3 linked regions of the Notamacropus eugenii genome follow. The protein of the gene in region 2 purifies or fractionates together with the protein of the main gene of each other region. This does not show direct contact. Links are inferred from orthologs where the notes say so. Each region holds a gene or a part of one and is shown on either strand. Other genes may lie near its edges. The genes, in order: GPN3, POLR3E and POLR3B.

Region 1 (7,216 bases), on a different chromosome or scaffold from region 2:
AAAAATTTAATGTGAAAAAATGTCTTTGCACCAACCATCTCTGATTTTATACCCAAGATGTATAGGGGAGGCATGTAAATATATAAGACCTTGTATGTGAATTTTATATATGTAATTATACATATGTACTGTTATAAGTCATAAAAACACATATATAATAATTCTTTAATATATAAATTGTCAATGGATATGAATGGTTATTAGAAGAAGAAATGAAAACTGTTAACAACTATATGAAAAAATGCTCCAAATTAAATGTTAAAGAAATTAAAATTCAAACATGGACCAGAGTCTCACTGCTGACTCTCTAGACTCCCTTATCTATGGTGCTAGAACATCCTTCTCACCTTGGCACGATTTCCCACCAGCTCTACTGCCTTCTGGTTCCCTGGAGGATCCCACTCTGCTCCTGTGGCCCTGTCCTCAGTTGGGTGGTTTTAACTGAAGACAGGTACTCTCTTTCTGCTTCTATATTCCCAGCACTTAGCCCAGTGCCTAGCATACAGGACACACTTAGGAGATGTTTGTGCACGTACTGGCCAATTTCACTTCCTATTCATCATAATAGATACAGGTAGAAAATACTGGAGGAAGTATGAGATGACAGGTCCAGGTGGAGCTGTACATTGACCTAGCTGTTCTGGAAAACAACTTGGAATTAGGCAAAAAGAAAACAAAAAGTCACCAAGCTGTTCAGAATGTTTGACCTAGCAATCTTCTATTTGTTATGTATCTCAAAGAAAATCAGAGAAAGGAAAGTCCCAAAAGAAATATTGCTGTGCTAATATTCACAGCAGTATTTTCAGAGTCTCAATACAGATCTAAAGAAAGTAAAACCCATTGGTAAATGGCTGAACAAATTGTGGCACGAGAATGTAACAGACTATTACTGCCCCATATATAATGACAAATATGGGGATTGAGAGAGATATGACTTCCTTATTAGAACTGTATAAGTTGATACAGAGTGAAGAAAGCAGAACCAGGAGAACAGTATGCCTAATGACTACAAAAAAGGAAATGAACAAACGCCAAGACATCAAAATTCGTATTAAATGCAACAACCAATCGTGGTTCCAGAAGATGAATGATGAAACTAACACATTTCTCTCTTCTGAGCAAAGAAGATGTTGTGTAAAGGGTAAAAAACAGTCACTTTGTGAGTTGGGTTTGTGGAATTGCTCTTATTTTAAGGGAGAAGGTATCAATAAAATTTTAAAAAGAAAAAAATACCTATAGACCTTGGAATGTGGAATTTTCTGATGTTACAAATGTTTGCATTTACTTCTAAGTTATATTAAAAATGTATTCCTTTACATTCATAGGTTCAGGCAACTATGGAGAATGTTCCACGGAGGGTCCGAATGGAGGAGGGACCACCAGATTCTACTGTTTGTGGATAACACTGTCCTAATTATATCAAAGCCTAGAACTGTAAAATAAAATGAAAAGACAAAGAAAAACAAAACAACCTCCCCACAAAGATCCATAATAACTCAGAAGAGGTCAACATAATAATCTATAGAGGAAAAAACAAACAGATGAAAAATGGCTATCGTCCAAACTGTGACATGCAGTTAGATGGCGTAGAGATGGATTGTGAGTTGGGCCCGGAGGTTCAAGCTTCTACTATAGTGCATTAAAAGGGGAATTGTTCTTTTATTATTATTATTTGTATCCCAGTGCTTGACATATTAAATCCTTGTTGAATCACTAGATTGAATTACATTTTGAAAATTCCAGTTTCTTAAGGATCCCAAGCTGTTCTCTCACACACACATATACATGCTCTCTCTCTCTCTCTCTCTCTCTCTCTCTCTCTCTCTCTCTCTCTCTCTCTCTCTCACACACACACACACACACACACACACACACACACACACACATACCCCTTTCTTTTTAGAAACACAAATGTTCTCTCTGAACCAAAGAGTGGTGAATCTTGGAACACAACAACCTCTAATGAATCATAGTGGTTGATGACTCCAAGGACAATGGAGAAGACAAAGAGTAGGCTAAGTCAGTTACATTAGGATATATGCGTAAGAAGTGACATAAAGAATATACTCTAGGAAAAATATAATCAGAAAAGGAAATGGGCTAGCTATGTCCTGAGAGTGAGGCATGGACAACTCCGAATTGCCAGCAAAGAAAAGTATATTTTTAAAAAGGCCTAGAGGAAGACCTCCTGTCCAGTGGATGGATCCTCAGTCAGTCAATAAGCATCCATTAAGCAAATCTATGGAAGAGTATAGGATGTAGAACAATCGGTTGATGGGATGTTATCTTTAACAACAGAAATAATACTAATGTCACTGAGGTATCAGCTCTAATTAAGCACTGACATATTATACAGTTTCACTACAGCTGTACCTAGGGACCTGAAGGGCAACCTACTCTAACCTTCTCCGTGACTATGTGAGCCTATGAATATAAAGGAATAAATTTCAATGTGATTTTAAACAAATGCAAATACATTTAACACCCGAAAATTCCACATTCCATCACCCAAAGGTGTTTTTTATTTTTTATTTGTAGGTATTTTTCTTCTTCTTAAAGTTCTATATTTGTCTTTTGTTTTTAATCTCAGTGACTTCTTTGTAAGGATGAGGACCCACCCCCCCTCCCCAGAAGTCTTGTCTGTCCCTACACTGAGCTACCTGGAGAGCTTAAAGGCATAAACCTTCGGTTTGCCAGGGGAAAGATCCCAGGGGATGGAATCAGGAGTCAACTAAAAGTAGCCCTTTCCCTCATTCAACAAACTTATTAAATGAATGAATAAAATATAATTAAAAGCTATTTCAAAAAGAATTTATTTTTTATTATCTCATCTCTCACACAAGGATTTTCCTCATTTTCAAGAAGGCAAAAGAAATACACAATCTGATGTCACACAGCCCACCCCAGGGACCAGAACCCAGGCGTCTCGCCTCCCAGGCTATTGTCTTGAGCGCCTGAGGTTTTCTATGCCGCTCTTATAGAAGCTGACCATCCCTGCCTATTTTTCTGTGGAAAATGTAGCCTGGTGACCCAGCGCCCCCTCGGGGTAGAAGCCTCCACCGTGGCACCCACCCAGGTGAGTCACTGCACCAAACGCCTGTGCGGCTGCTGGGAACCTTTCCCCAGCCCCAGGCCCCCGCCCCCGTCTGACTGTGAGTCAGTCCTTTCCCCATCCTCCCCAGCAGCAAGGGATGCTCGTCCACCCTCTGCAAGAATCCTCTCCTCCCTCTTCGCCCGTGGCTTATCCATGCGTGGCCAACGGCCCTCTACACCACGCCCCGCCCGGGGCCGAGGAGAGGGACACGGACTGGCCCCCGTCCCATCTCTCGGTGCAAGCCTGCGGGGCCCCGAGCCTTACCCGCTGCTCCCGGCTGCAGCGGACAGCTCGGACCCTCCGCCATCCTCCTTCACCCAGAGAGGCGTCTGCATCTGGCCCGGCATCTTCTCCGAGGGGGCCTCAAAGGCGACGTCCAGTGCAGGGAGGGAGGGAGGGAAACTTCCCCCTCTCCTCCTCCGGGTTTCAGGGTGCGTGCGTCAGGCCGGGGAGGTGTTGGGCGGACAGGGCGCTGAGCCTCCACCCCGACCACCTGCTTGTCTGGATCCTTCCCTCCCTCCCACTCTTCCTGGGGCTCCCGCTGGCTGGGCTCTGGAGGGGCAGGGGGGACGCTGGTCAGGCGCGGAACGCTGGCGAGGGGCACGTTGGCATCTTTCGGGGCTGAGGACGCCCCGTAAACGGGAGGAGCGCGCGCATCCTAAGCAGGAGATGACGCCCGGTGCATACTGAGCACGGACGTGTGGGCACGCCTCTTTACGGGATCCCTTAGCTGGAAATATGATAATTATTACTACTATTATAATTGTATTTTAAAACATTTAAAAACCTCCCAGCTGAGCTCTCTGTTCAGAACATCACCCCAAATAGCAATGCCCAGGATCTGCCGGAAGCCTGGCTAGGCGGTGGTTCCGCCGCAGCCCCAGGCAGGGATGCGCTCCCGCCCCTTCTGCAGGTGGATGGATGGATGGGTTGGTACAGAGTCAAGCTTTGTGCCTGGATCCATCCTCGTCCATTCTGCGCCTGCGTGCCTGGCGAGCCGCTAGGCAAACCCAAATTGACCTCAGCGTCGTTTCTTACTCTTTAGGAAGCATGGCCCTCTTGAAGACCCATAGCAGGAGGCGGGGTTGTGTATGCTAGAATGGGGAGGGGAGAGAGGGCCGGCCCTCGGTTTCGATTGGCCCTCCCGCCCTCCGGAAGTCGAGTCGCGGACTGTGCGCCCTCAGAAGTTGCCGGGACGCTCTTGGCGTGTTTCTTCTTCTTAGGCTCCGTCGGTAGCCGCTGGGGCCCACGAGGGTCAGTATGCCTCGGTACGCGCAGCTGGTGATGGGCCCCGCCGGCAGCGGAAAGGTCAGTGTTGGCAGGAGGCTGTTGGAAACGGGGTGGAAACTCTAAGATCCCCTGGAATGCTGGGAGCCTTAAGATGGGGACACAAGCCACACAGAAGCTACAGCCGCCCCCAGACTCGAGGGGAGGAGGGGATGCCTGGGAATCTAGCCACCTAGCTGCCCCTCAGTGTAGCTAATCCTTTGATGGAGGTAGAGGCATCAAACCATAATACCCAACCTGTTGTTTTGACCAGGACTGGTTCAGAAACTGCCCTCTTAGTGTTCTAGGGAACGCAAATATAAACATTAGAGAACCCGAGATAATATTAAACTCAGTGAGCTCTTATTAGACCCCTGCTGTATGCTAGGCACTTAGTAGGGGCAGGGTGGCACAGCCGACCTCGAGGGTGGGAGGACGTGGATTCGAGTCCTTGCTTTCTGGCCCAGGCTGGTTGTGGAATCCTGGGCCAGTCGCCTCTCTACCGAGGTGGAGGGCACGACCGCCCTGGGAGTTCCAGCCCCACGCTATCCCTAACCAATTCAATAATCGATCCATCGATCGACTTTTATTAAGTTCCAAGTATATGACAGGCACTGTGCTAAGCACCAGAATGCTAGAGACCCTGGAGATATCAAAGAAGGCTGGTTCGCTAACATCAATACGAGATAGATACTCTCCTAGCTGTGTGACCATGGGCAGATCACTTCCCTTCTGTTGTAAAATTGGGGTCCAAATAGCTACCTAGACCATATGGTTGTTGTGAGGCTTAAGTGAGATGAAACCATAGATGGAATCTTAAAACACCCAGGGAAGGTCAGTTACTGCCCTGTACTAGGGGGGCCTTCCCGTTGGATGAAACCTACCTGGGGTTTGTTTTTGGTGGGGACAGACAGCCCTGGAGACGCTGAAGGCACTAACCAGTTTCTACTACCTAAAGATTTTTCATGCTAAGGTCAGAGCAACAGAAATTTAGGGCTGGAAGTGACCTTAGTCCAACCCTTTCGTTTTTCGGAAAATGTTGAGACCAGGACAATTATAAGTGACTTGTCCACACCAAGAGGCAGAATTTGAACCTAGGGTCTTCTGACTTCAATTCCAGTTCTCTCTTTTGCTGCACTGCTCTCTTGTTGGAAGGACCTCAGTTCCAAACCTGGCTTTGCTACTTACAGGCTCCCAACCTAGGAGTCATTCTGGATTCCCATTCTCTCATCCCCCATATCCCCCATATCCAAGCTATTACCATAGTTTGCTGGTTTTACCATTGCAGCATCTCTTGTCCATTTCACCTTGGTAGCATCTCTAGTTGATTTCACCTTTGCAACAGCTCTGGTCAGTTTCAGCTTTATAGCATCTCTTGTCCATTTCACCTTTGCAATATTTCTGATTGACTTCACCTTTGCAGCATCTTTCAAATATACCTCCTTTTCTCTTCTGACCCTGCCATCCCCCTAATGCAGGCTCTCATCACCTCATATCTGGACTATGGCAATAGCTGCTTTGGGGGTCTGCCTGCTTCCAATCTATCCTCCACTTAGCTGTCAAAGTGATCTTCCTAAAGTACAGGTCTTGTATGTCACCACTTGCCCTGGTACAGGCTTTCATCACCTCACACATGGACTGTTGCAGTAGCTACTGGTGGGTCTGCCTACCTAAGGCCTCTCTTCATTCCAATTCATCCTCCATTTTGCCACCACTAAAGTGATTTTCCTAAAATTCAGATCTGATCATGTCATCTTCCTATTCAATAAATTCTTGAGAGTTCCTTTTGCCTCCAGGATCACAGTATCCTCTGCTTGGCCTTCAAAACCTACTCCCTAATTATATTATGAACAGCTGGTCCAGCCTATGAATGAATCCAAAAAAGTCTGGACCTTTATGCTCACACTTTTGCCAGAGAGCCCTGTCAGACCAGACAGCATCCTGTCCAAGTTTTGTGCTATCATCTTGTGTAATTCATTGGGGAAAAAGAAAAAGAAAGAGAAAGTTGCAGATAATCTAAAATATTTTCTGCTAAACGAAACACCTGTGGCATCAAAGTTTATCTCATTAAAGAACAGAAAGTTGATTTGTTGCAGCTTTCCAGACATACAATTCACAGATGTTTCTAGGTGAAGAGGTATTGTGTTCAGAATATCAGAATCTGAGTTAAGCAAATGGCCTTCACCAACATGAATGAATGTGCAACCCAAGATCAAATAATAGGATGAGCCAGGTGACCAATAGTAGCGCTGAACTTAGAGCTTTCTACTAGAATATGGCAGAGCCTTTCCCCTGTCCAACAAAATAAAACACAGTAAAATTTTAAAAATTCATTGCAGATAAAGGGAATGAACTAGAGGTGGAAGCCCTTCTTCCACTCTCAGCATCTTAGGAGAATTCACCTATAGAAACACTTGTGGAAATAGATGTAGACGAATAGTGTGGGAATTAATCAGAATGGGAAAGTTAAAATTACCCGTGTTACTGACCTCAGTGTAGATGGGTGTTCATCTTTCGTTGCCAAAGAAGACCATGCCATCAGAGAAATAATGACATAACTTGCACTTGACTTTGTTTCGAGTGAGGGAGGGCTGTGCAGGTCACCAGTCTCACTTTCTCCTCCCAAGTTATCTGGATCCAGTGACCAGATATTCATCAGGATGAGGCAGTTGGGGTTAAATGACTTGCCCAAGGTCACACAGCTAGTGAGTGTCAAGCGTCTGAAGTGAGATTTGAACTCAGGTCCTCCTGACTCCTGCACTGGTGCTCTATCCACTGCACCACCTAGCTGCCCCTCAGTGTAGCTAATCCTTTGATGGAGGTAGAGGCATCAAAGCATAATACCCAACCTGTTGT
Region 2 (8,093 bases):
GGAAAAGACTGGAAAGACAGAATATAGGGAACGCCATCAGACATGTTTCCTGTGTAAGTTTTATTTAACCTTTTTTTAATGTTATAAGAGAAGGCTCACTGAGCGGAAGGCTAGAAAGTATATCTGGAAATGGCTGTGACAGAAAAAAGCATCAGAAATATGAGGGTTGGTTGCTGTCATTTAAAGAAGGTGCATCACCAGGATGACCACATGATGATGAACTTTTTGGCCATATCAACTCAGGGGTTACAGATTTGCTGAAGTGGAGCGAACACCCAAAGAGAAAAAAAAATCATAGCTCAGAGAAACAAATCTACATATAGTCCTCCTCATCATCTATAAAAAGGAGTGTAAACTCATAGAATCCCTCTCTTCCTTTGTAATGCTACCCAAGAACCAAGTTCCAAATGTAGCCTTTCCAGATCCTCTCAATTATCAGGGTCCTCCCTGCCAGACTATACAGTCATTAACACTTTGTATCTTTTCTCTTCACATTTACACTGTATCCTTGGTTTTTTTTTATTCTTAGTATCTCCCTCAGTGTCTTCACCGTTGGCACTTAGGAATGAATGAACTAGAGAATACAAGAAGAAATAAAACCAAGTGCCCAGCTGTATGGTACACACACTTCTACAGGGGATAAAGTGCTCAAAAGGAAAGAAGGTATAATGGAGATTCAGTATTCAGCTACCCTTCTGCTATTCTCTCTTTCTGGGGTTTATATTTGGATGTTTCTACCTTTCTCCTGAATAGTCAACTCAATGTACCACCTTAGTAACCACTTTTCCACCCATCCTAGCCAGGAAAGCTTAAGTTTTTTTAAAAATCTTTTCCCTTTATTCAAAAAAACAAAAACAAAACAACAACAACAGAAAACAGCCTCTTCCCAGCCTCATGAACCCTCTGTCTCCAAGGGGATCTTGAAGAGACAGAAGGCCTGGAGAGCACATACCTACCTGCCCAGACGGGCAGATGTGGGTTTGCCCTGGGAGCCGTACACCAGCAGCCAGGTTCTCCTCTCAAATGTCAGTACCAACTGAAAGAAAAAGAGGCATGAAGAATAACACAAAAAATAAAAAAAAAAAACAAACATCCTGTCCGCGGCAACTCATAGAAATTCATAGCCAGGGCCACTGCCCTTCTCGTCTGGCTCTCTAGCGATCTGCTTTAGGTCTAGACTAGTCAGACAATGAAATCAGCCAATTCTAAGTTACCAGGAATGGAGAATTTACAGCATGACACCAAAGCTGGAGCAAGCTCAGGGATGCTGAGATCTCCAGAAAGGAAGTAGACCTGTTCCCTGCCATTCTCATAAAAGCCAGAGATCCAGAGTTGAGGTCAAACTATCTTGCCCTGGTCTCCTCTGACTCTCAGCCATTTACAAACCTGAATACTTTGCTAGTGTTAGACGGCTTGACCTCTAACCCTAGGAAAGGTGAAGAATGGGGAATTTCTGCTATTACTCCACATTTGAAAATGATGCAAATATTTTTAAGAAATCATGAAAACTGAAATGGGCTCCGGGAACTAACATGGTCAGTAATCTCAAACCCGGAGACTGGACCAAAGAACAATTCTCCAGGATTAAGAGGGGATGTGTACATGTACTTTGGGGAGGGGAGCCAGAAAGGAGGAAATCCTAAAGAACCAGCCTGAACCAAGGGGGGCATCGATCGCACAACCTCTAGGGTTTAACGATGGCAAAAGGGCAGAGCTGCCACAAACTGGCGGCATGACTTTGAACAGGTTGGCTTCTCAATAAGAAGAGGTCATTGGACCAGAGAGTGCCAAGGCCTCTCCCGGAGGTCCAGGATTCTAAGGTGATCCTTGGGTGGAAGGATGGTAAGATGGCAGAAGGGCAGCTCTCAGGGAAGGCTACCCCGAGGGGCGTGCTCTCCACCTGTCCATGCCACCATCTGCTGGGCTCTCTTTCTAAGGTGCTGCCAACACCACCTCTGCCCCAGGACCGCGGGAAGTGCCCCGTCCCCACTCTGACTCACTTATTTCTTCCCCAAGTCAGCCCCCCACAGCTGTCACCGGCCGTGGAGACCTAACCTCTCAAAGGCAGGTGTCTCCAGGAGAGGGTGGCACCGCTGGGTCACCTGGAGTTACCCACTGCCTGCTGGGTCAATGGGCAAACTCGGCCTCCCCAGTTCCAAGCCCCCCATCTCGAGGATGGGGGTCCAGCCCAGTGGGAGCCCCCCCACTCCTGCCCTCCCACCCCCATCCGCCGGCCTCCGCACCTCCTGGAGCAAGAGCGCCCCGGGGTGTTGGGTCAGAGGATGGCCAACCCCCGGGAGACCCCACCCCCGACCGTGGGAGCGGCAAGGGAGCCACCCCGGGCGCCTCCCCACAGCCCTGCACAGTCACCCCGGTCGCGGCCCCCCTCTCAGGCCCGCCCTCCGGGACGCCTGGACCTGGGCAGCCGCAGGAGCCCGCTCCGGGCCGGGCCGGGCCTAGCCCCCGAGCACGGCCGCGACGCCTCCTCCGGCTCCAGCGCCGCTCCCCGAGGACGTCCCCCGGCCCCCACGACAGAAAAGCTCTCACTCACCGGGCCCGAGGACGTCGGGGAGGGGGCGGCTGCAGGGGGAGCGGCAGGGACGGGGGAGGAGCGGGAGGAGGAGGAGGAGCGGCGGGAGGAAGCAGGAGGCAGAAGCGGCAGCTATCTCCGCGAGCTGCAGGGGCGGCGGCGGCGGCGGCGGCGGCGGCGGCGGGCCCAGCTCTCTCAGGCAGCAGCCATATTGCTGGTAAAACTCCAGCAGACACGTGGGGGGAGTTGGGTCCTCCCCCGGCTCTTCCTCTTACCCACAATGCCCCGCCCCGGAGCGGAGCAGAGCGGAGCTCTCCCCACTCTCCGGGCCGCACTTCCTCTCCGGACCAGCAGGTGGCGCCGAGGCACCTCCCCCTTTCCTCGCCTTCTCTCCCTTCCGCCACCTTTTCTGCACCACCCCTACCTCGGTGCCTGGAGAGGAGCGGCCCTTCCTCGCCTTCCTACCACCGATAACTTCTGCTCGCAGGCCGCAGGTGGCGCTGGAGCGCGGGGGAATGGGGAGAACCAAAAAAAGCCACTTTCTGGCAGCGGTGGGATTCGAACCCACGCCCCCGAAGAGACTGGAGCCTTAATCCAGCGCCTTAGACCGCTCGGCCACGCTACCTAGATACAGAAGGCGGCTTCTTGAGCTCTAGTCAATCTATGACAGTGAGTTGTTTTGTTTTTTTTTTTTTGTTTTGTTTTTTGGACGCTCTAAGAGTCAGAGCTTCCCGGAAGTAGAATTCATCCTCCTCCAGCTTCCGGATTTTAGCCCTCCGTCTCCTCTCTTGCGCCTCCCTCCCAGACCGTTAGTCCCCGGAGGACAAAAGCGGCTTCTTTTCGCGTCCTTCGGGCCAAACTCCAAGCCTGGTGTGTCCTGGATCTCGCGTGGAATCGAGCTGTCCGGTAAAGACTGACTTGTTGTTCTCTCTTTATAAATAAAAAATATACATCTTTTTAAAAAGTGCCTCCCATTTCTTATGAATGTCTTGTTTTAAATCTCATATTATCTCTCTTTTCCTCCCCTCCCCTTTACCCAGAGAGACAAACATTAGGAAATAACCAGCCGGCTCCGCCACCCCGCGCGTGGGTGCTTGTCCCCTTCCGAGGCTGGGAAGGGGGAGCCCTTCTGGGGCAGGTCTTCAGGGCCCTTTCACAGTGTTTTCCATTCGCATGACCGCACTCATGTGTGCTGTTTTTAGCTTACCCCATCCCAAATCAGACAGCTCTTCCTAGCATTCCCAAAAGGAGAACAGTAAAAAGTAAAGGCCATGTGACCTTTAGAAAAATCTAAGTTAGAATAACTGAAGTTCCACTTCTAGCGAAGATGACGGAAGGCAGAAATGGTTGATGTTCAAGAGGCCGGGAAAAGCCAGGGACAGAGCGCGCTGTCAGAGGAGCTGCGCGGCGGCCCAGCCGTGCTGGAGGGCGGTTTGGAATGATGCTGAAATTGACCAGAGTGGCCACACCTCGGCGCCCTGACAGCCCCGCCGGCCCAGGAAGGGAAGCTTGCATGTATCCAAATGGTCAAGCGGCACTCTGCAGCAGGGAAGAATTGGACGCAGGGACCACCGTTTGGAAATTTGTTTTTGCAAATGTGGCACATGAATGTAATGGAATATTATTGCCGTAAGAAAAGAGGAATATGAAGGTCTGTGAGTGGCTCTGTGAACTTCTCATTTGATTTGGAAAGGGATGCCCTTAGGTAAGGTAGACACTGTGCCGTTTGGCTCTGGTTCCTTGATTAGATGAAAATACTTTCTGTTGGGATCCTCCATCAGAACAGGGTGTGAACAGGGCCTGTGTACCTCTTTGAATCAATCAAAGCCATTGTGTTAGAGACTTCCTTAAGAAATTTGTATGAAAGGAAGAAGTCAAGACAACAAGCATTGATTGAACACTTAATTGTGAGATGTTGTGTAAGCCTATAAAGAAATGCAGATCTATCTATCATCTATCTATCGATCATCTATCTATCTATACACACACACACACACACACACACACACACACACACACACACACACACACACACACACATACATATATATGACTTGAAGGTAATCTCAGAAGGGAGGCATTAGCATTGAGGGATATGAGACTTCTTGACTTTTACCTGAAATTTAAAGAAAGTTAGGCAAGCCAGGAGGAGAAGGAATATCCCAGGCATGGGAGACAGCCAGTGAAAGTTTTGGCATTAGGGAGATGAAATAGCTTGTTTGAAGAACATCTGTCTGAAAAAGAGAAATAGATTTGGAGCAAATAGGGGAAAGGAAGAAATAATCTGTACCAGAAAAAAAGAAAATAAAGAGGAGAGTTATTGGTTCAACAGGCATCACAGAGAGGAGGAGGGCCCAGGCTGAGGGAAATCCAGAGAAAAGGACATCTCTGTCCCAACTTCCCTTGTTGAAGCCACAGTCACTATAATATTATATGATGTTTCATTACCCATATTTTTCCAGTAAACTGAATTTTGCCTCACCTGCAAAGAAATCAGGGATTAACGAAAGATAGACTTAAATGTAATAGAGTAAATGTGAGGCAGAGAGTATAACTCTGCCCAAGTGTTAGGGATTTTCCTAACTGGGGACTCCAGAACAATTATAACTGAACTCAAAACTTGCCATCTAAAACAAATTCCATAGTACTAAAGGGGATTTAACAAAGCAAACAAAGAAGGTACCAGGTGGACATTTGGGGCCAATAAATTTCCCCCATTTCCCCATAAAATGAGATAATTATTGTGAAGAGGTATTACATCCTGGTTGGTACCTTGATAAATGCTTGAGTATACCAAAATATTATGAGAGGATAGTTCATATTCATGTGTGTATGTATGTATACATATACATATACATACACACATATATTCAATTCCAATTCAATCCAATAAGTTTATATTAAGTTCCAGTCACTGTACTAGGTGCTGGGTATACAAGGACAAAAAGGAAACAATTCCTGCTTTCAAGAAATTTATAAGCCAGCAAATTCTTGACAAATGAAAAGTACATATATACAGATGATCCCCATATTTCGAGTTTAGACAGGCTGAAACCAGCCACTCAGAGCTTCCCAGAGAGCTGATTAAGCTCTAGTTGACCTACTTCATTACCCTAATTTCACAGACCTGTTTGAAACTGTCAAGCTGAAATGTCCTCAAGTCAAAAATGAAGCAGAAGCCAGAGAATATAGGAGGGTGACTCCACTCCATAGGATGAGTTAGGGCTAAAGCTTGAGTAGAATCCAAGCAGAGTTCCCTGTGCTCAGTAGACTAAAGTAAGAATCCCTGTCTTTGCTAAACTGGAGTTATTAAAGAAAAATATCTAGGGGAGAATCTGGTGATAGAGGCAAGGAGAACAGAGGAGATAGGGGTCATTGCAGGGGTGTGCTGGAGCTAGTGTTTGAACTATTTAAGTTTGATTAAATTTTCAGTGTGAGAATTTATGCCTCAGAAATCAGCAAATGCTATATATTTTAGATCTTGACCTATTGCTTTATTGATTATCTGGACTTAAGAAAATGATAGAGAAAGTGTTAATACTGAAAATTAAACTTGAGTATGTTCTATGTATATTTTTTTAGAGAGCAGATTGTTAAACACTTAACAAGAGGATGTAATGGCACACATCTTTTTGATTTTGAGTTGTGGGAATGACACCAGAAACTATCCCTATCCCATTCTTCTCTGGATCTAATCACACTCTATTCTAGCTTCTTAGGCTACTTCTGAGCTGCTAAGGAGTGTCTGAGAGCAAGGACTTGACTTACCTGTTTTGAAATTAGCATGAAATATATAGTTGCACAAGTCACTATAATGAGACATCATTGTCACCATGCAGGCAAGAAATGACCTTGTGATGGTCGAAGCCCAGACATAATAAGGGAAAACCCAGCCAGGGCAATTTTGTTATTCAGGTCAAGCAAGACACGGAAGGAAAGAAAGGGGAATTTATTAAGTATCTACTACATGGTCAGGCCCTGTGCTAAATGATTTGCAAATATTATCTCATTTGATCCTCCCAACAACCTTAGGAGATAAGTGGTATTATTAACTCCATTTTAAAGTTGAGGAAATAAATAAAATAATCTTGAAAAAAGAAATAAGAAAAATAAAGTTGAGAAAATAGAGGGAAACAAAGGTTAAATGACTTGTCCAGGGTCCTACAGCTAGTAAGTGTCTGAGGCTGAATTTTACCTCTTCAGGCCCAAAGCTCAATCCACTCTGCCATTTAGCTCTTACCATCATGTCTCAATTTACATGAGAGAGGAAAATTCCTTAAAAAAAAAAGAAGTCATGTAAATCAAATGGAATTCTTTGACTTCACTTCTGATTAAACCCAACACTTTAGCTTTCAGTTTCCCTGCTTTTTCCTCTACTCTCCTCCTATCCTACAGCCTCCTTCAAGTGATTATTGCAAAAACAAGCAGTGAACTACTCTCCTAGATGAGTTTTACAGTAAAGATGCCTTTTAAGATCAACATATATTTATTGAACACTTTCTAGTGTGCAACTGTTGAATGCAGTGACCTAGGACTGTGAAATGCAAAGATATGTGTATCATACAATCTCTGTTGTTCGCTAGCAACAACAATCTTAATACACTATTCAGATGTTAGTTATTAGTATTGCCATATCAAGAAAATAATTAGTCCCTCATTTGCCTGTTTTTAACATAAAATTTTATTTGAGTCTTTTAAAAAACATATTTCCCACAATATCCTCCTTCAAGGAACCATCCTTTGTCACCAAGAAAAACAGTTTAAAAAAACAACAGACAACCAGCCTTGTTCGCTGCTCCTGTACTCCCCTACCTGAGAGTTATTTAAGGGAGGGCTATGTTCCTTCATTTGTGCCCTGGACCCAATATTGGTCATTAGCTGTAATTATTTTACCTGATTCTAAGCAGTATTCTGAGTTTCCTTTACAAAAAAAAGCATGGGGAGAGTCAGTCAACAAGTACTTATTGAGTTCTTACAATGTGCTAAGCACTACACAAATAAAGAAAAGCAGAACAGAGGTCCATTCCCTTAATCATGAAGGTAGTTGCTCAGTGGAAAGAATTTCTGGCCTGCAGTCAGGAAGACCTGAGTTCATATCATATTCAGATACTTACTACCTGTGTGACCCTGTTTAAGTGATTCCCCAAATGGAGTCAAGAACAGTTGGAAGGCCCTGGGATAGTGTTGGAGGAGGACTGAGAAAGGCTTCCTGCTGATGGTGGGATTTGAGCTGCATCTTCAGTCTAAATCAGGAGGCAGAGGGCATGTAATTTAAAGATTTTCCCTGACAATTAATGGGCCTCAGATTAGGGGAGGCTTGTTTTGTAGAAAGGCTCACATCTTTGTTAATTGCTAATGAGGCACTGGGTCACAAGATTGTGATGCCTTCTGGCTCTGAAAAGTGTATATATACTCTGAGGTGAGGTTTTGCTTTGAGGGGCTTACTCTTTGGAAGAAGGTTCATGTTCCAGATGAGACTCTGAGTAGCCTTTAAGGAGCTCCCCCAATCTTGGCTTTGAAAACTCACATGTTGGTGCTTCTCCCTCTGGTAACTATGTATGTA
Region 3 (7,712 bases), about 110 Mb from region 2:
GCTAATTTTGGCCAAATCATGAACACCCCAAGAAAACACAGGAGCTCCATCAGTCACCACCACACTATCCATATGTGGAACCATCGATTATAACAAATGGAGAAGTTTTGAATGCTGTGGATAAGTTCACTTACCTTGGTAGTGTACTTTCCAGGGATGTACACATTGACAATGAGGTTGATGCACACATTGCCAGAGCTAGCTCAGTGTTTGGGAGGCTCCAAAGAAAAGTTTGGGAGGGAAGAGGTATTAGACTGACTACCAAACTGAAGGTCTACAGAGCCACTGTGCTGACCTCACTGTTGTATGCCTGTGAAACATGGACAGTCTCTCAGCGTCATGCCAGGAAACTGAATCTCTTCCATTTGAACTGTTTTAGGAAGATTCTGAGGATCACCTGCAGGATAAGGTACCAGACACTTAACTCCTTGCTCGAGATGAACTGTCAAATATTCAAACTATGCTTCAAAGAGCACAACTCCAATGGGCTGGCCACACTGTTCGAATGCAAAATACGCTTGCCAAAAAGACTATTTTATGAAGAACTTGCATGGGGCAGACGATCATCTGGTGGTCAGAAGAAGCAACACAGGACACTCTCAAGGTCTCTCGCAAGAACTTTGAATTTGATTATGCAACATGGGAGACACTGGCACAGGATTGTTCAGCATGGCATGCCCACATCAGAAAGGGTGCTGTGCTCTTTGAGCAAAGCAGAACTGAGACAGCACAAAGTAAATGTAAGATGCAAAAATTTGGGATATCCACCCCAAATATTCACACAGACTATCTGTGCCCAACCTGCAGATGAGCATTCTGAGCTCATATTGGTCTGATCAGTCACAGTCGGACACACTGAAATTTCACTTTACTATGGTGATGTCATTTTGGTCCTCTTCAAAGATGACGGTCAACAACCACCACCAACCTTGGCCATGGTCTATTTAATTAACATCAGTACCATGGTAATGGGTACACATCCTCCTCCCCTGTAAAATGTAATATCTTAAGAACAAGACCCAGTTCATTCCTTTGTATCCCTTTTACCAGGCTGTCGACTGACTAACGTGAGACACTACAAGTACAGGCTGAGAGAGGCACTAGACAGCTTATTGAAAACACCTTGGAGCTCAGTGTACTGAGAGTTCAACAGGTGTTCCAACAAGTGATTTACAAAGCAGATCTAAAACCCTCAACCCAGTTATCTTATCAAGAGCCTACCCAGCAGCCTGGCCCTCTAAGGCAGAAACATTACACTGCCCTGTCTCCACTGATTGTCTCATCTGACCAACTATTGTAGACAAGCAAATCCCAGCAATGCCTTACTTAATTCCCTACTTCCACTCATCTTTTGTAAAGCAACTCTGTGAACACATCCTTGCTTTTGTATTTGGAAGCAGCTAGGTGGCTCAATGGATAAAGCTAGGTCTGAGGTCAGAAGATTTGAGTTCTAATCTGGTTTCAGACACTTAACTAGTGGGCTAGCCAGTAGTTAACCTTCTTCCTCTGTAAAATGGGGATAATAATAGCACCTACCCCCCAGCACTGTTTTGGGAATCAAAGGAGGTATCTGTAAAGTGCTTACCACAGTGCCTGGAACATAGTAACTGCTAGCTATTATTATGGTATTTGACTCCTCAGGGCTTAGCATAGTGCTTGGCACTTTATAAGTGTTTAAAAAATGTCTTTTTATTCATTCATCCTCATAGTACTCTATTGAAGTCAACATTGAACTTTATCATGGTGATGTCATTTTGGTCCTCTTCAAGAACGAAGGACAACAACCAACTCTATTAAAGTCAACATACACACCAACTAAGGCTGTAACTAAATGGATCGGGTCTCCTGGTGACACATGCGTCCAATATGACGCGATCAGCAAGGGCTTATTAGCTGAAAGGGGTGAAGAAAGAGTCTAGGAGACTGTAAAAAATGCAAAGGAGTTAAGGCCTTCTTAGTCATACTTTAAATTTAATTCTCTAAATGAGAACTCTCCAAACCTGGGGAAGCTAAGTAGGTAAACAATTGCCCACCAACCACTTCAAACATTATTTTCTTCTCTTAAGCACATTATGTGTAGGTTATTTATGTATCACATCTCCCTACTGAGAAGAAGGATGGAGAGAGACAGCCTAGGAACCTGAAAAAGGAGGCCGGATTCAAAAACATCTTGCCTCTGACCCTGAGTGTTGTGGCCTTAAAATCACTTAAACTCAATTCTCAAACACTACAAGCTGCAGGGAAGAAGCCAACCTGCAGTGGTAGTGGGAGCTGTCTCATCCAGTAGTTTCCTACATCAGGGAAATCTAAGTTCAGGTCTTAAGGGCAGGAAACCTTGACTAAACTTTGTCTTTGTCCCTCGACCTGACAGACTTATTGAGAGCCCCAAAGTCGATAAAACGAGTTTTCCGTTGAAGGTAAAGAGAGATCAATGATTTGGTTCAGACAAAACTGATAATGAAGTAGGAGAAAGCTGAGCTGATCATGTTATTTTTTCTTCCACTTTTTCTACCCAGGAAAATGCCCCTCAAGCTGGGAAGTCCAGGAGGACGACCCTGCGGGAGGTGCAGCTCCACCCCACGGGGCAGGACCAGGACGCGTCCGAGGTCTCCACCGCCTCCCGAGCAACTGACTAGGGCCTGACAGCCCGGGAAGAAACCTCGTGCGCAAAGGTGTGGGCGTGGGCGCAGGCGCACTCAGAGCCCCAACGCCCGTAGAGGGCGGGGCGGAGTGCTCCGAGCATGCGCCCTAGGCCCTGGAGCACAGCCCCAGCTACATTCCCTGACTAGCCCGGGCGCCCGAGGAGGGAACGCCCCCAAGCAACACTCACGTCCGGCTCCTTCGCTTCACTCACCTCCACTGTAGGAATGGGAGCGGCCACCTGCTCCGGAGTCAAGTTCCCGAACTCCTCGGCTAGCACGTCCATGGCTTCCAGTCGCCACTGCTACACCCACCTCTGCGACCCTAACGGCGGCGGGCGGACCGCTACGAGCGTGAACACCCGGCAGTGCAGCACCCAAACCTTTCCCCCTCGGCCAGTGCACCACGCCTGACGGCGAAAAGGTTCCGCCTGCTTTTAGGGACCCTATGGCGTCATCGGCAGGACCCGGATGTGTCTTCGGCGGAGCTCCGCCCCCTGATGAAGTCACAAGCCCCGCCCATTCCAGGGAGCACGCGCGGAGGGGGAGGGGGAGGGGCGAGGAGCCTTCCACGTGGCGTCCCCAGTCTGGGCTTAAGTGCTACGTCTCCTTTCCCAGAAAAACTTCGGCAAAGGGAGACTTCGTCCTTTCGTCCTGCCCAGACGCCAGCGCCTCCAGGAGGCCCATCCTTCCCATCATTCTCCCAGCTGAACGTAGTGGATGATTATAATATAAATATATATCATGAATAGCCCTAAGTTCTGAGTTCAAACCCTACCTCCAGGTGCCCCCCAAGGTGACCCTGGACAAGTCACTTATAAAAATATGTACATGTGTGTAATGTATGCCCGTGTGTAATATAATATAATGCCTCACATATGTATGTGTATATATGTCTAAGACATGGGAGAAATCTATATGATCTAGGTGTGTGTAATAATGACACGTATGTGCACTTTGTAATAAAGTTATAGTACATGTAAGATGTGTGTAATGTGTTTGCTCTAATGTGCGTGTGAAATGTATAAATATAATATAGGGGGTGTGTAATATGTGTGCAAGCTCTATGTATATATGTAATATAGATCTGTTTATGAACATTTGTGTATGTACATATATACATTATATATTGTCAGATTATGTATATATGTAATGTGTAATGTAAGATATATGTTATGTTTAATATATAGTATGTGTATAGAGCATATATACATATAATATACGCTATACTATATGACAATATATATAACAATAATATGGTGTAGTATATGTAAGATATGTCTGTGTTATATGTATGACAGGTGATATGTGTGTATATATACATGTATAATGTATGTATATGTGTGTCTTATACATATATGTATATTACATATATTCTACTGCTGTGTGTATATACACATATATGTTCACATGTAATATCTATCTGGGCTTCAGTTTCCCCATCTGTAAATGAAATCATTATTCTCAGTCACCTCTAAGCTGCCTTTCAGCTAGGCTTCCTTGAAGGCAAAGTGCATAGTAGATACCAAGGCAAACTTGTGTTCGAATCTAGCCTCACACACATAACTGTGTTTCTCCATCTGTAAAATGGGGGTAATAATAGCACCCACCCACCTCAAGCCTGACATACACTTAATACAGGTTTGTTGATTATTTGAGGACCATGGAAATTTGCTGTGCCATGCTCTTTAAGCATCATTCTGAAAATGTTTAGAAAAACAATGTTGTCGTGAGGTACAGATGGAAAACCACATCAGAATGTCTTCTCCAGCATGGACCTAGAGTAAAATGATGAAGGAAGATGTCTTTCAATCTACAGCCTCCCTTTGGGGGAAAGGGGGGCGCCTTGGCCTCTTTCATCACCCCCAACATCATCAAGGTTTGCCTCGTGCCTTCTCTGCCACAATCTGCCTTCCCAAAAATATCTGATCAATTCAGTCACAGCAATGGGTTAGATGGTTAGATCCAACCAATATTTATTGAAGGCTCATCAGTTCCTCACTGGAGCCTACAGAAAGATGTGGTTCCTTTAATCAGGTCGCTTCCAGTAACGATTACTGTCTAGGGTAGCTGAATCCAGACAGAATATAGAGTTGGGTAAACAACCTTGAATATGGAATTTCAAGTATCAGTGAGCACTTGGGGAGACTTTTTTTTCCTAGGTATACTTAAACTCTTGAAATCCTACCAAGGAGAACTCCAAGTACCAACCATTGAATCTGTGGGTCTGGGTAGGAAAAACTATGAGTTCATTTCCCTCTCCTTGCATGGCTGATTTTGAAAAAGGCTTTTGTTTAAAAGGACCTTGGGTGACTCAAGAATTTCCTGGAGCTCTCCATGATCATTGGCTTCTTTCCATGGGGCCCACTCCAACATCCTGACGAGTTTCCCGTCAAACGGAAATCTTGGTTTAAGGTGATGAGGCTGGAAGTCTTCGAATATCAATAAGATATCCATTTACTATAGAAATTCCCAAGACATCTGCAGATGTTCTCTTTTCCCATAGAATCTAGAATGTTATGGATAAAGAAAAGAAAGCAGAAAAGATGACAGGCTGCCAACTCCATCCTGTCTTGACTTTTGGAAATCTCATCTAACTGTAAAGCTGCAACTCAAATGCCAGCTCCTCCAAGAAGCCTTCCCTGATTTCTCTTCCCCCTCCCCATCAGAAAGTATTTCCATCCTCCTCCCTTCCAAAGCATAAGATCATGGACACAAAGGTAGAGAGGACTGCGGAGGTCATCTGGTCCAGCTCCTTCATTCTACAGATGTGTAAACTGAGCCCAAAAAAATTTAAGTGACTTGCCCAAAGTCACACCAGTAGAAAGAGGCAGCATTCGAACCCAGGTCCTCTGATTACAAACCAATGTGCTAGATTTGGAGTCAGGTAGAAGAGGAGTTTCAATCCTGCCCCAGACACTTATTAGCTACATGACCTTAGACAAGTTATTTAACCTCTCTTAACCTCAATTTCCCCAACTGTAAAATGGTAATCGTAATGGCACCTACCTTCCAGGGTCAATGTGGAATGAATTGAGATAATAGATATAAAGTGCTATGGAAATCTTAAATGACTAGAAAAATGCTCATCCTTCCTTTGATTTTTCCATACTCCTTGCCATTTCAACGCAGTCATATACTTACATTACATTCTCATCTATTCCAAGGCTGTTGCATAATCTTGCATACTTGTGGCTTATGCTCCCCTACTAATTAATGACACTGAGGCAGTTAATGTCACAGTGCACAGATCCCTGGATTTGGGGTTCAAATCCAACCTCAGACACTTGCTAGCTGGGTGACCCTGAGCAAGTCATTTCACCGTTTGCCTCCCTTTCCTCATCTGTAAAATGAGATGGAGAAGGAAATGGCCAATCATTCCAGTATCTCTGCTGAGAAAACCCTAAGTGGAGTCACTGAAAGTCAGATAGCACTGAACAAAGGACAAAATTCGGCCAAGTCCAATAAGGCTCAGCCCCTATTCCTCCCCCATGGGTCCATACCTGGAATGTTCCTCCTCACCTTGGTTTCTTGGAACCCCTGAGGCCTGGCATGATTCACTTCAAGTTTCACCCACTACCACAGTCTTCACTGATTTCTCCCTGGTTGGTGAGTGCCCGCCCCCGCCCCGAACCACCCGAACCACCCCAACCATAGGCACCCAGGCAGGTGCTCAGCACAGATGCCATTGCACCCTAGGTCTGACCTAAGTCCAGCCCTGTCCCCACCACCCCAAGCCCCAAAGCAGAGACACGTGATGAGAGTCACTTGGAAAACAGCAGATGAGACTCCTGATGAACCAGATTCCTCACCTCTCGACAAAAAGGGCATGCAGAAGGAGACATACATTTGCAGACGTTGCCACGGCATAGATTTTTTATTTTGTTTGATCATACTTATTCATTACAAGTTTTTGATTTTATTTTTTTAAACTGGAAGGGGAGAGCAAGGAAATGGGCTCCTAAGTGTTATGGCCAAAAGAAAAAAGAAACAAAGGGCCATTGAAGTATTTTTTTTAATAGACAAAAGAGAACCAAGGGAAATTCAGAGGAAGACACAGAGAGCAGGACAGCTTTGAAACTACATAAGGAATTTATTATTTTAAAATGTGAGCTCATTCCAAGTAGGGATCTTTTCAGTCTTTGTACCTGTATTTTTAACTAGAATAGTTGGTGCTTAACAAACGACTGATTGAGGACATACTTTCTAAAAAACCAAGTTGTATATAAGAGATTTAGAGTTTCATATACAATCCTCCTTTTTCTGTTCTCTTCTGTATATGGAAATATCCACAACTGTTGGCATCTGTCAAATAAAGAATAACAAAAAAACCAAAAATGACTAAAACAAAAAAATAAAATAACAAAAAAATAAAATTTTAAAGAACAGAGAAGAACCTGGTGGTCTACGTAACAGGAAGATGATGATTACCTGATTAACCGAGGCTTAAAGTCCCTCAGGGTCAGCAGTATTGGATGAGTCCCTGAAAAGCCCTCCCCCCATGAAACAGACATACCAATCATTTTTTAAGTCAATGCTTTAATATTTAACTGAAAAAAAAAAAGAACATTGCCAGCTTGCATGGAACAGGTTCTTGCCAAAATTTTCAAAAACAGAATTTATGCAATACATGAAAATATTAGTTTTACATTTAATAAACCTTATATAGCAAAACTTGACCATGTTAAGAAACTTTAAAATGGAAGCCAATGTTTAAGCAATCTTGGGATGAACTACATCCAGGAAGACGGGGACTGAGACACCTTCGTCAATGCAAGTTGCCTAAATCCAGAAATAAATTCATTTTGTCACTTTTAAAAAATAAAATGCCCTTATTTAAAAATGTAATTTTTTTTAAAAGTGTACATTGTTATTTTTTCTTGTGATATAAATTAAGTGCATAAAAGAATCACAACTGGATTCAAACTTTATGGTAAAAACATGTTTTTCTTTTATCTCCCTGTTTTAAACAGGATGGTCACTTACTGGAAGAGATGAAATGTGATTTACTGGAGCTGTATCTTCTAAGCCCTTAATGTGGGGGCAAAGAACAGGACAGAGAATTCGAGAAAC

The links.
Region 1: the proteins of POLR3E (region 2) and GPN3 purify together in Homo sapiens (affinity purification with mass spectrometry; 3 studies listed by BioGRID and IntAct, counting the BioPlex papers as one, with this or other methods). This does not show direct contact. The link is inferred for Notamacropus eugenii from reciprocal best matches to the Homo sapiens genes POLR3E and GPN3.
Region 3: the proteins of POLR3E (region 2) and POLR3B purify together in Homo sapiens (affinity purification with mass spectrometry; 8 studies listed by BioGRID and IntAct, counting the BioPlex papers as one, with this or other methods). This does not show direct contact. The link is inferred for Notamacropus eugenii from reciprocal best matches to the Homo sapiens genes POLR3E and POLR3B.

Annotation. Positions count from the first base shown.
Region 1 is NC_092875.1:35,917,153-35,924,368, forward strand, and holds the start of GPN3 (GPN-loop GTPase 3), read left to right. Parts: upstream 1-4,165; 5' UTR 4,166-4,354; coding exon 4,355-4,402; intron 4,403-7,216. Other genes in the region: protein FAM216A, read right to left, coding at 3,359-3,441. UniProt on the Homo sapiens protein: Small GTPase required for proper localization of RNA polymerase II (RNAPII). May act at an RNAP assembly step prior to nuclear import.
Region 2 is NC_092874.1:396,629,013-396,637,105, forward strand, and holds the start of POLR3E (DNA-directed RNA polymerase III subunit RPC5), read right to left. Parts: upstream 3,038-8,093; 5' UTR 2,955-3,037; intron 2,691-2,954; exon of another isoform or gene 2,552-2,690; intron 1,037-2,551; 5' UTR 957-1,036; exon of another isoform or gene 953-956; intron 1-952. UniProt on the Homo sapiens protein: DNA-dependent RNA polymerase catalyzes the transcription of DNA into RNA using the four ribonucleoside triphosphates as substrates.
Region 3 is NC_092874.1:288,740,505-288,748,216, reverse strand, and holds the start of POLR3B (DNA-directed RNA polymerase III subunit RPC2), read right to left. Parts: upstream 3,052-7,712; 5' UTR 2,927-3,051; coding exon 2,855-2,926; intron 1-2,854. UniProt on the Homo sapiens protein: Catalytic core component of RNA polymerase III (Pol III), a DNA-dependent RNA polymerase which synthesizes small non-coding RNAs using the four ribonucleoside triphosphates as substrates.